2 linked regions of the Arabidopsis thaliana genome follow. The protein of the gene in region 1 purifies or fractionates together with the protein of each later gene. This does not show direct contact. Each region holds a gene or a part of one and is shown on either strand. Other genes may lie near its edges.

The links.
Region 2: the proteins of NFD1 (region 1) and AT5G55140 fractionate together in Arabidopsis thaliana (co-fractionation; one large-scale study listed by BioGRID). This does not show direct contact.

What each region holds. Positions count from the first base shown.
Region 1 is NC_003075.7:15,049,257-15,053,637, forward strand, and holds NFD1 (Ribosomal protein L21), read right to left. Parts: upstream 2,496-4,381; 5' UTR 2,375-2,495; coding exon 1,940-2,374; intron 1,856-1,939; coding exon 1,775-1,855; intron 1,620-1,774; coding exon 1,518-1,619; intron 1,226-1,517; coding exon 1,151-1,225; intron 1,034-1,150; coding exon 914-1,033; 3' UTR 555-913; downstream 1-554. Other genes in the region: LAP2 (Cytosol aminopeptidase family protein), read right to left, coding at 1-48; WRKY32 (WRKY DNA-binding protein 32), read right to left, coding at 2,660-3,008, 3,103-3,261, 3,347-4,002, 4,324-4,379. UniProt on the Arabidopsis thaliana protein: This protein binds to 23S ribosomal RNA in the presence of protein L20.
Region 2 is NC_003076.8:22,379,009-22,382,694, reverse strand, and holds AT5G55140 (ribosomal protein L30 family protein), read right to left. Parts: upstream 1,700-3,686; 5' UTR 1,583-1,699; intron 1,363-1,582; 5' UTR 1,326-1,362; coding exon 1,134-1,325; intron 1,046-1,133; coding exon 908-1,045; 3' UTR 501-907; downstream 1-500. Other genes in the region: AT5G55150 (F-box SKIP23-like protein (DUF295)), read left to right, coding at 1-420; AT5G55135 (uncharacterized protein), read right to left, coding at 2,309-2,566, 2,656-2,736; AT5G55132 (Defensin-like (DEFL) family protein), read right to left, coding at 3,226-3,401, 3,543-3,609.

The sequences.
Region 1 (4,381 bases):
GAAGCGAGAAGACGAAGAAGCGAAGGACGTTACCAAAGTGACGGCCATTTGAGTAACGCACTGAGCTTCTCTTATTTATAAGGAGAAGAAAAGCCGCGTTTGTGCTTATCTCTCTCTCTCTCTTGTTGACGATGATTCTTCTTTTACTTGACTCATTGTTTGCTTTTATCCAACCCGTCCCCACCCGACCCGATCTTAACCATGGACTTACGTACTCGTGTAGCTTTATAATTCTCTTTGGCTCCAAATTGCTTTTGTTTAAGTTCTTTATACATATTTATACAAACAATGGTTTTGATACTATTTACAAACATTCAAATATTTCAAGGCATTCTTACACGATTTTCCGATGTTGATAAAAGAAATTATAAATCAGTTCCAAGTACTATCAATTCTGTGAATCATTTGTTGATGAGGAAGTGGTTGCCATATATAGTTACAATAATAATCACCTGATCTAAAGAGTCATAGTGGAAAAAATCGAGATTTTGAGTGTAATGTGACTTGCAGTTATTACCAATTTACCACCAGTTTCATATCTGTGACCGAGACTTGCATGAAGAAGTAAATTAAACCATAACCAAACCACAGTAGTACAGTACAAAGTACAAAGCATAGAGAAGATAAGGAGAGAGATGTTTCCGCAAATCTTTATTTCTGAAACAGAAGCAACAAACAGCTCCCACAAGCATGAGCCAGTTTAAATACAAAATGAAGAGCAAGGAGAACAAGACAGTGAAAGGCAAATCACATTTCATATCTCAGGAGCCTAGTTACTTACCACTAACTACCAAGAAGGCCTTTTCATCATTTCAACGACTTTAAAATCTAGTTCTTAGTGAACAGCAAGTGATAATTTAACTTACTTCAAATGTATCGGCATCAGCAAAAAAGAAAGAAGCAAATTTTATCTCTAAGCAACTAGCTCAGCCTTCGTCTGTTCTGTAACAGCTTCTTTCGAAGGCTTATGGACGATCTTCGGTTCTGGTTTTTCAATTCCTTGTATATCGGTTATTCTCAACTTCGTCAATTCCTGGACACAAGTGTTGAATGGTCAAAAACAACAATCATAACACAGTGGAAAGAACTAGAAGAAGGCAAAGATGAAATAAACACACTGTCTATCTAAACAAGGAGTTATAAAGTATACCTGTCGATGTCCTCTCGTTCTCCTATAATTCTTTCTTCGTTTCTTTTTGAAAATGAGCACTTTTTCATCCAAAGCCTGTCACGCATCAAGGAAAAACTAGTTGAGTAATGCTGGTACATGAGTAGATCCTTCTACATTCCAAGCCCATCTTAAATCAAGACATTCAGATGATGTAGAGATAGATGAACACTAATCTAATGACTTGCAAGACTTTCACAAACTAATCAGCAGACAGTTTGATTTAGTTTCTCTCAGTCACCGGATTCAGCAAGCAAACTCTCATCTATCCTCTTTTCAATTGTAAATTATTCTTAAGCACAGCTTCACTAGTATTATAAAACACCAAGCAAGTCAATGAGACACTTACATGCTCTTCAACTACAGCATGAACTGTCGCATCTGGCAAAATAGGCCTACCAATAATCGTCTGGCTTGCCGAGCCCAATAGAAGAACCTTGGTTAGTTCCAACTGCAAAGGGACATAAAGAGAAAGGTTTTAGCAACAATCATAAATCATAAACACAAATGCAAAGGTTCGTCCTTCTTACGAGAGATACGGTAAAGTCTAGCCCTTTGAGAGAAGAATAGCAAAGATTAACGAAGAAGAGCTTGAAGCTAGCATACCTTATCATTGATGTCACAGAATTTCAACTTCTCGGTGAAAATGGAGTCCCCATTGCTAACTTTAAACTGATGCGAACCAATCTACAGGATAAAAATAACCACTCAGCATCAGTGAGAGTGAGAAATGAAACTAAAGGATTAATTGAGATAGCACAGAGACGAGACCTGAACAATGGCAAACACTGGTTCATAGGGTTTGAAAAGTCTCTCCGAAGGTTTAAGAGGACCCATCACCTTGTACCCTATCTCCTCCGCCTCTTCCACTTTCTCCGCCGGTGAATATTCCCTTTCTACTTCCATATCCGCCGAATCCTCAAAGTCTTCCCCCTCCTCCTCATCATCATCCTCTCCTTCACTGCTTTCTTCATCTTCATCAGTATCCTTTGTGTTCGAAGAGAAACAACGATCTTGAGAGCGATACCAATGACTGTACCATGGCAAATTCCTAGTGAGAGATCGATTCGGAATTACGGTCCCATGAGAAATGCTGGTCCCGGAAAACTCAATCCCATGAAATGAAGAGATCGATCGCGTCTGGTTGATGGAGAAAACAGTCGTAGCGCGGCGGCTCAGCTCACGAAAGCATCGAAGACTCGCCATCGGAGAGCACGAACACACTAGGGTTTACACAGAGTAGAGAGAAAGGGTTTTTGTTCTCGTCTTTTAGTCCCTTTCAAGTTTCAGAAGACCCTCTAGACGAACCAGAGGCTATTCACTAAAATTAGCGATTTAATATCACAATAAACATATACCATCATTACACAGACGAATGTTAACGTATTTAGTTGGTAATCTTCATGGGGTTTTTTATTATTATTATATAACAAGAACAAGGAGGCGAAAATTGAGTCGATGAACTCTATAAAACTCATAAACTACATATAATCAGCATTGCTTGATTTCGAATCCAATGCTCAACAAAGTCCTAGCTGATTCCATCACTTTCTCTCCACCAACGTCCAATGCTTCTTTACTCTGCTTCTCACTTTCTCGCCCCACCGAGCACTGGCTTGAAGTCGGAATGTTCACCTGATCGTCTGTCCTGGTTCTCATTGATGTTGGAGCGGCTGCAGCTACGAGCATTGAGCTTGGAGGACCATGGCGTTTCTTAGGCACCGGCATGTCGTGGTTGTGTACTCCTTTGTATGTGATTATTACTGCTTTTGTGTTCTCGACTGCTGTCTCAATGTGTTTACGAACTGGACATCCCGCTGAAGTGCATCGGTAGTAGTTCCTGAATGTTTGAAACAGAACAAATCAATCACCATGCGTATTAGAAGATGTCATATGTGGATAAAGAGATGGGTCATGCGTTTAGTTTTCTAGACCTTGGATGAGGATTTCCTTTCACCATTTTCTGCCCGTATTTACGCCACCTGTATCCATCACCACAGATACCAACATCACCAGCTGCGTGTACTACGAATTTGTTTTTCTTTCCAGGTTTGGAGACAGAATCTGAACTCTGTGAGTTATCTTTTTTCAGTCTGAAAAATAGAGAGAAGAAAGTCTATTAATTTCATCTTTCAAAGTGAAGAGTAAGCACCGAAATGCAAAATTCTACAAACTTGCCTTCGTTTTGGCTCTGGTTCCTCCACAGCTTCGTTCTCACAGTGTCTTTTCCGGTCAACGAGTGTTTGCGACTCACAGATGTATTCTTTAGTAGAAGCAGACGGATCTGAACCGCTAGGAACAATTGATAGCTCTTCTACTACTGTATCATCCTCTGAAACAGGCCGGATAGCTGTTGTAACTCTAATCTCTCTCGGGGAGAAGCTAGTCTTCCGGGGAGGTTCATGAGTATGTAAACCTTTGTTAACAATCTCTACCACATTGCCTGAATCATTGGAGCATTCAATTTTTTTAGCACAACATTCAGTGTATGTACACCTGTAGTAACTCCGTGAGCCCTTGGGACTCTTAACCTGCTTCTGTCCATATTTTCTCCAATTATAACCATCACGAGCCGGTGTCCTAGGAACAGGAGTAACCGACAATCTGTTAACCACCGGCGAATCTGATCTTTGCTCTTGTTTAGTTGGAACTGAAACCAGTGGTAAATCTTGTGCGGTTGAAGCAGTTGCAGGATCCAAAGATAGACATGGCGTCACTGTCAATGAGTCTGACGATGCAGCCAGAGAAGGAGATGTTTCTACCTGACGATTCTCTTCCACTTCATCAACCGGCACAATCGCACTTACAACAGTTTCCTTGACGCTATCAGTCTCCTGCCAATGTGATACAAAAAGCAGTTAAATGTCATGCCTTGATAACAGTGATTCTTGTCCTCAGAATTGCCTAAGAAATCAGACACACTAAAATGTAACAGATCAAACTGATACAGATACAGATTGAACTTGGCCAAAGGTTAAAACCATTACGATTAATCCTATTCCCATGTTATTGTATAATCACTGAACGAGTAACATCGAAGACACTGAAATGAGTTAAACTTTACAAGTTCTAGCACAATCAATGTTAATGAGAGAATCAAAGTTGTAAGTGTTAAGAAAGTTTATGAATAGCAGAAGAGTCTGAAGCAAACTCACATTCACTTCTAATACATCTTCAACATTTGGTTCCACAGAGGAATTTTCTCGAACACCT
Region 2 (3,686 bases), on another chromosome or scaffold:
AGCACCTCGCCGTTTCGGTACGACTCTTGCAAGAAATACTTGGCAGAGTCGGATTACGACGAACTGTGGGTGGTCCTAAAGAAGCTGGAGCTTAACGACGATTGTGATTTCGAAACCTCTTTCGAGATTTACGAATTCAATCGCGAGACTAACGAATGGACAAAGGTGATGAGCTTGAGAGGAAAAGCTTTGTTCTTGAGCCCTCAAGGTAGATGTATAGCTGTTTTAGCAGGTGAGAGAGGATTTTTCAAAGACAACTCAGTTTATTTCATTGATGGTGATGATCCAAGTGTAGGAGGATCAGGGCCTCAGAATCTGAGCGTTTTTGAATGGGAGAGTAAGCAAATCATGAAAATTTACCAGCCAAGATCTTGGAATTGTCAGATGTTTTGGGTCACACCAACAGACGTTCCTCAGTGATGAATGACTGATGCATTGTAGAATTTGTAGTTTGCATAGTATAGGTTTTGTATTTCAAATTTCAATTCTTTGATACATTACAATTGTCATCATACATTTTGGTTCTTCATCTGTAACATATATATTAAGTTATGATTATTTCAGCATCTATCTTTCTCTCACTACTTTCATTAATCAAATTGAAAGGTAACTTTTTTGAGAATCAACTTTCACATTCTCAATCTTGAAACATTGGCCACAAAAAAAAAAAAAAACCGATAGATTTGAGATTGACAGAATGAGAGCAAAACATACACAAGTATCCAGTGTATACAAAAAACATAAAGAGGCACCAAACACACTGATACCAACATTTCTTATCAAGCGTCTAGGACTAGTTTACTTCCTGGACACCTTTAGAGAGAACTTAAACATAAGCCGCCTACAATATCCAAGCGGATCTTATCGAACTGACGGTAGAAGAGCTTACCATCTTATGAAAGTACTCTCAAGACATGTTGGATGAATCTGTTGCAGGACTCGAATGACTGACAACGAGAGGCGGGCGCAAAGCTTTGTGGTTGGCTTCTGCTTCTTTACGAGCATTGTACATTTCTTCTGTTTCAACAACAACCATCCTTTTAACCTACATAGAGGCAAAACCAACCATCACAATTTTGAAATCTAGGATTTTATGACAAATGAGAATAGATAAAAAGATAAAGGAAGAGAACCTGATCAATCATTCCCCTAATGGATGAATTGTTTGAATGCAAAACAGTACGATGACATCTACGAAGTCCCATAGCTTCAAGTGTTCGTCTGTGAAGCTTCCTTGTTCCAGGGAGACCTCTTACTAAGGTTATGTACAAGCTCTGGCTCCATTCAATAGGCACTTGTGCTTTGAAAGCTCTAAAACCACTCATTCTTTTTTTTTTTTGTCTCCTTTATCACTCAATCTCTCTGTAACCATTAACAAAATCATAATCAAGCAATCACACAGAATTCACCGTAGAAATCAATAGATACAATAAACGAAGACGATTGATAACATGAATCATGAGAGAGTGAATCATCACGAATTGAAACCAAATCAGATCGATCAATTCAGAAGAAAAGAGGAGCTGCATAACGCGAGATTTCAATTAGGTGTTTGAGATAGAAATGGATGGTTTTCGAGTACCTTGAGGAAACAGAGACGGGAGAAGTCCGGTGAAAGAGATCGTCGACGAGTGTAGTCAAGACGGCGAACAGAGCTCGGAAAATCTTTGAGATTCGCGTTTAAGGGTTTTAAGCTTTTAGCGGAACAATGGTTAAACGACAGCGTTTTGTAGATTAGCTTAATTATTTGGGCTTTATCTGGGCCCAATTATTGGCTCCTTTACCTTTTTATAATTTGTTCAAAAATTACTAGATTGGTTTCATTTTTTTTACATCAATCTTTAGATTTATTAATCTTGCAAAAACAATTTATTTCAGAAAGTGTATGATGAACAGTCAAATTCCACTGCTCTCATCACTAGTTCTAACCTCTAAATTGGTAAAAGCTATTTGCTAGGTAGGTGTATTATTTAAGGTTTTTCTACCTTCTATAAGTTCAATAGCTTTAAATCTTGGGGTTGATCAATATTATTACTAATGAGTAATGATGCATTATTAAAAAGAGAAAATTATCAAAGTAAATTATATTTATACAAAAGTAGTAGCTAAATTACATAACTAAAAGAAATCGGTAAACTTACAAATATTGGTAGACAAGAAAAAGAGAGAAAAAGGGCAACCGTTCTTCTATCCATTACTCGATTTATTATACAAAGTACATGAAGCCTATAATATTACATACATGATACATGATGCATATTATTACATACTACTACTTTACAAGTGATATCTAACAAATGCACATACGTTATATTCCTTTAGCCGTGTTGATAGGCAAACCATCATCATCATCCTCAGGTCTCTTCTTATAATTATAGTCTTTCTTATCTAAAAACGCCTCTTTCACCTTCTCCACATCCGCCTCAGAATCACCGGAGACGTTTACCGCCACCGCAGCTCCGTCAAAAGCCTTCTCAACTGTTTGGCTAGCAACACCTTGTCTTGTGAACTCCTCCGCCGTCGAAGAAGCTCTTCCTTCTTCCCTCCCTCCACTCGCACTTCCTCTCTACATATTAAGAAAACATCTCCAAAAATCTTTGTATATATATATAGTTAATCTATTTCATGAAAACGTAGGAATATCAGAATATATACCTTGAGATAAAAAGAGTAAATACATGATGTTGTTATATTAGGCTTGGAGATTGATTTTGGGTTCACATAATTTCTCAACATTTTTTCTTCGGAGGTCTCTTATTTTTGCAGCTTAGATTAGATCAAGTACCATAGATGAATTTTCCTATAGCAGTTAATTGAGACTTTTGATGTCTCATCAACGGAGGTTATGATTATGATGCCACGTGTGTGTGATGCGCCGTCGTAGCCAAAAGATGACATGTTTCCCAGGGTTAGTCACGACGTCATGCAATTTCCTTTGTAGTTAAATCCAATATACGAAGATTTCTATTTCATATTCTACAGTTTCATACATAACTTTACATGATCGATTTGACAAAATCGATGTCCTAATGACATTAACTATAAGTCGAACCGCTGTCGTTTTTCTTGTGGATTTTATTGTGTACATGTATTGAATTCTTATAAACATTTTGATGAGAGAGATTGGGGGTTGGATCAGGATGAGATTATATCAATTATCATTATATAAATATATGTTTTTAATAATATCTTATGATCGAGAGTACATATAGAATAAGAGATCAATCAATTGATGACCGGACTGGAGATGGGAGAATTAGAATAATTGTTGCAGCAACAAAATATTTTAACAGCCCCGTGAATTTTAGCGCTTTCACAATACCCTCCGCCTCTCATCATGCATCTTGTATTGCATCCTATTGTGCTTTTACATCCTTCCGTACATTTATCTGAAATTAGTCCTATACGATTTTATAAATAAAAAATTCATCAACAAAAAATTTATAAGCAAAAATGGTCAGTTTAATATTGAAAACTGTAGTTTTTTAAGAACAATTTTTTTAAAAAAAATATATAATTTGTATAACAAATAAATGTGTTACCAGAAATCATAGGTATGGTGAGGAGAGCAAACACCATCAACGTAAGTAATCGATGAGATGCAACCATTTTGGTTGTTATTTGTTATTCTTTCAAGATGATTCTATACCTGCTTCTCAAAACCTATTAAAAGCGAATTTCAAAGT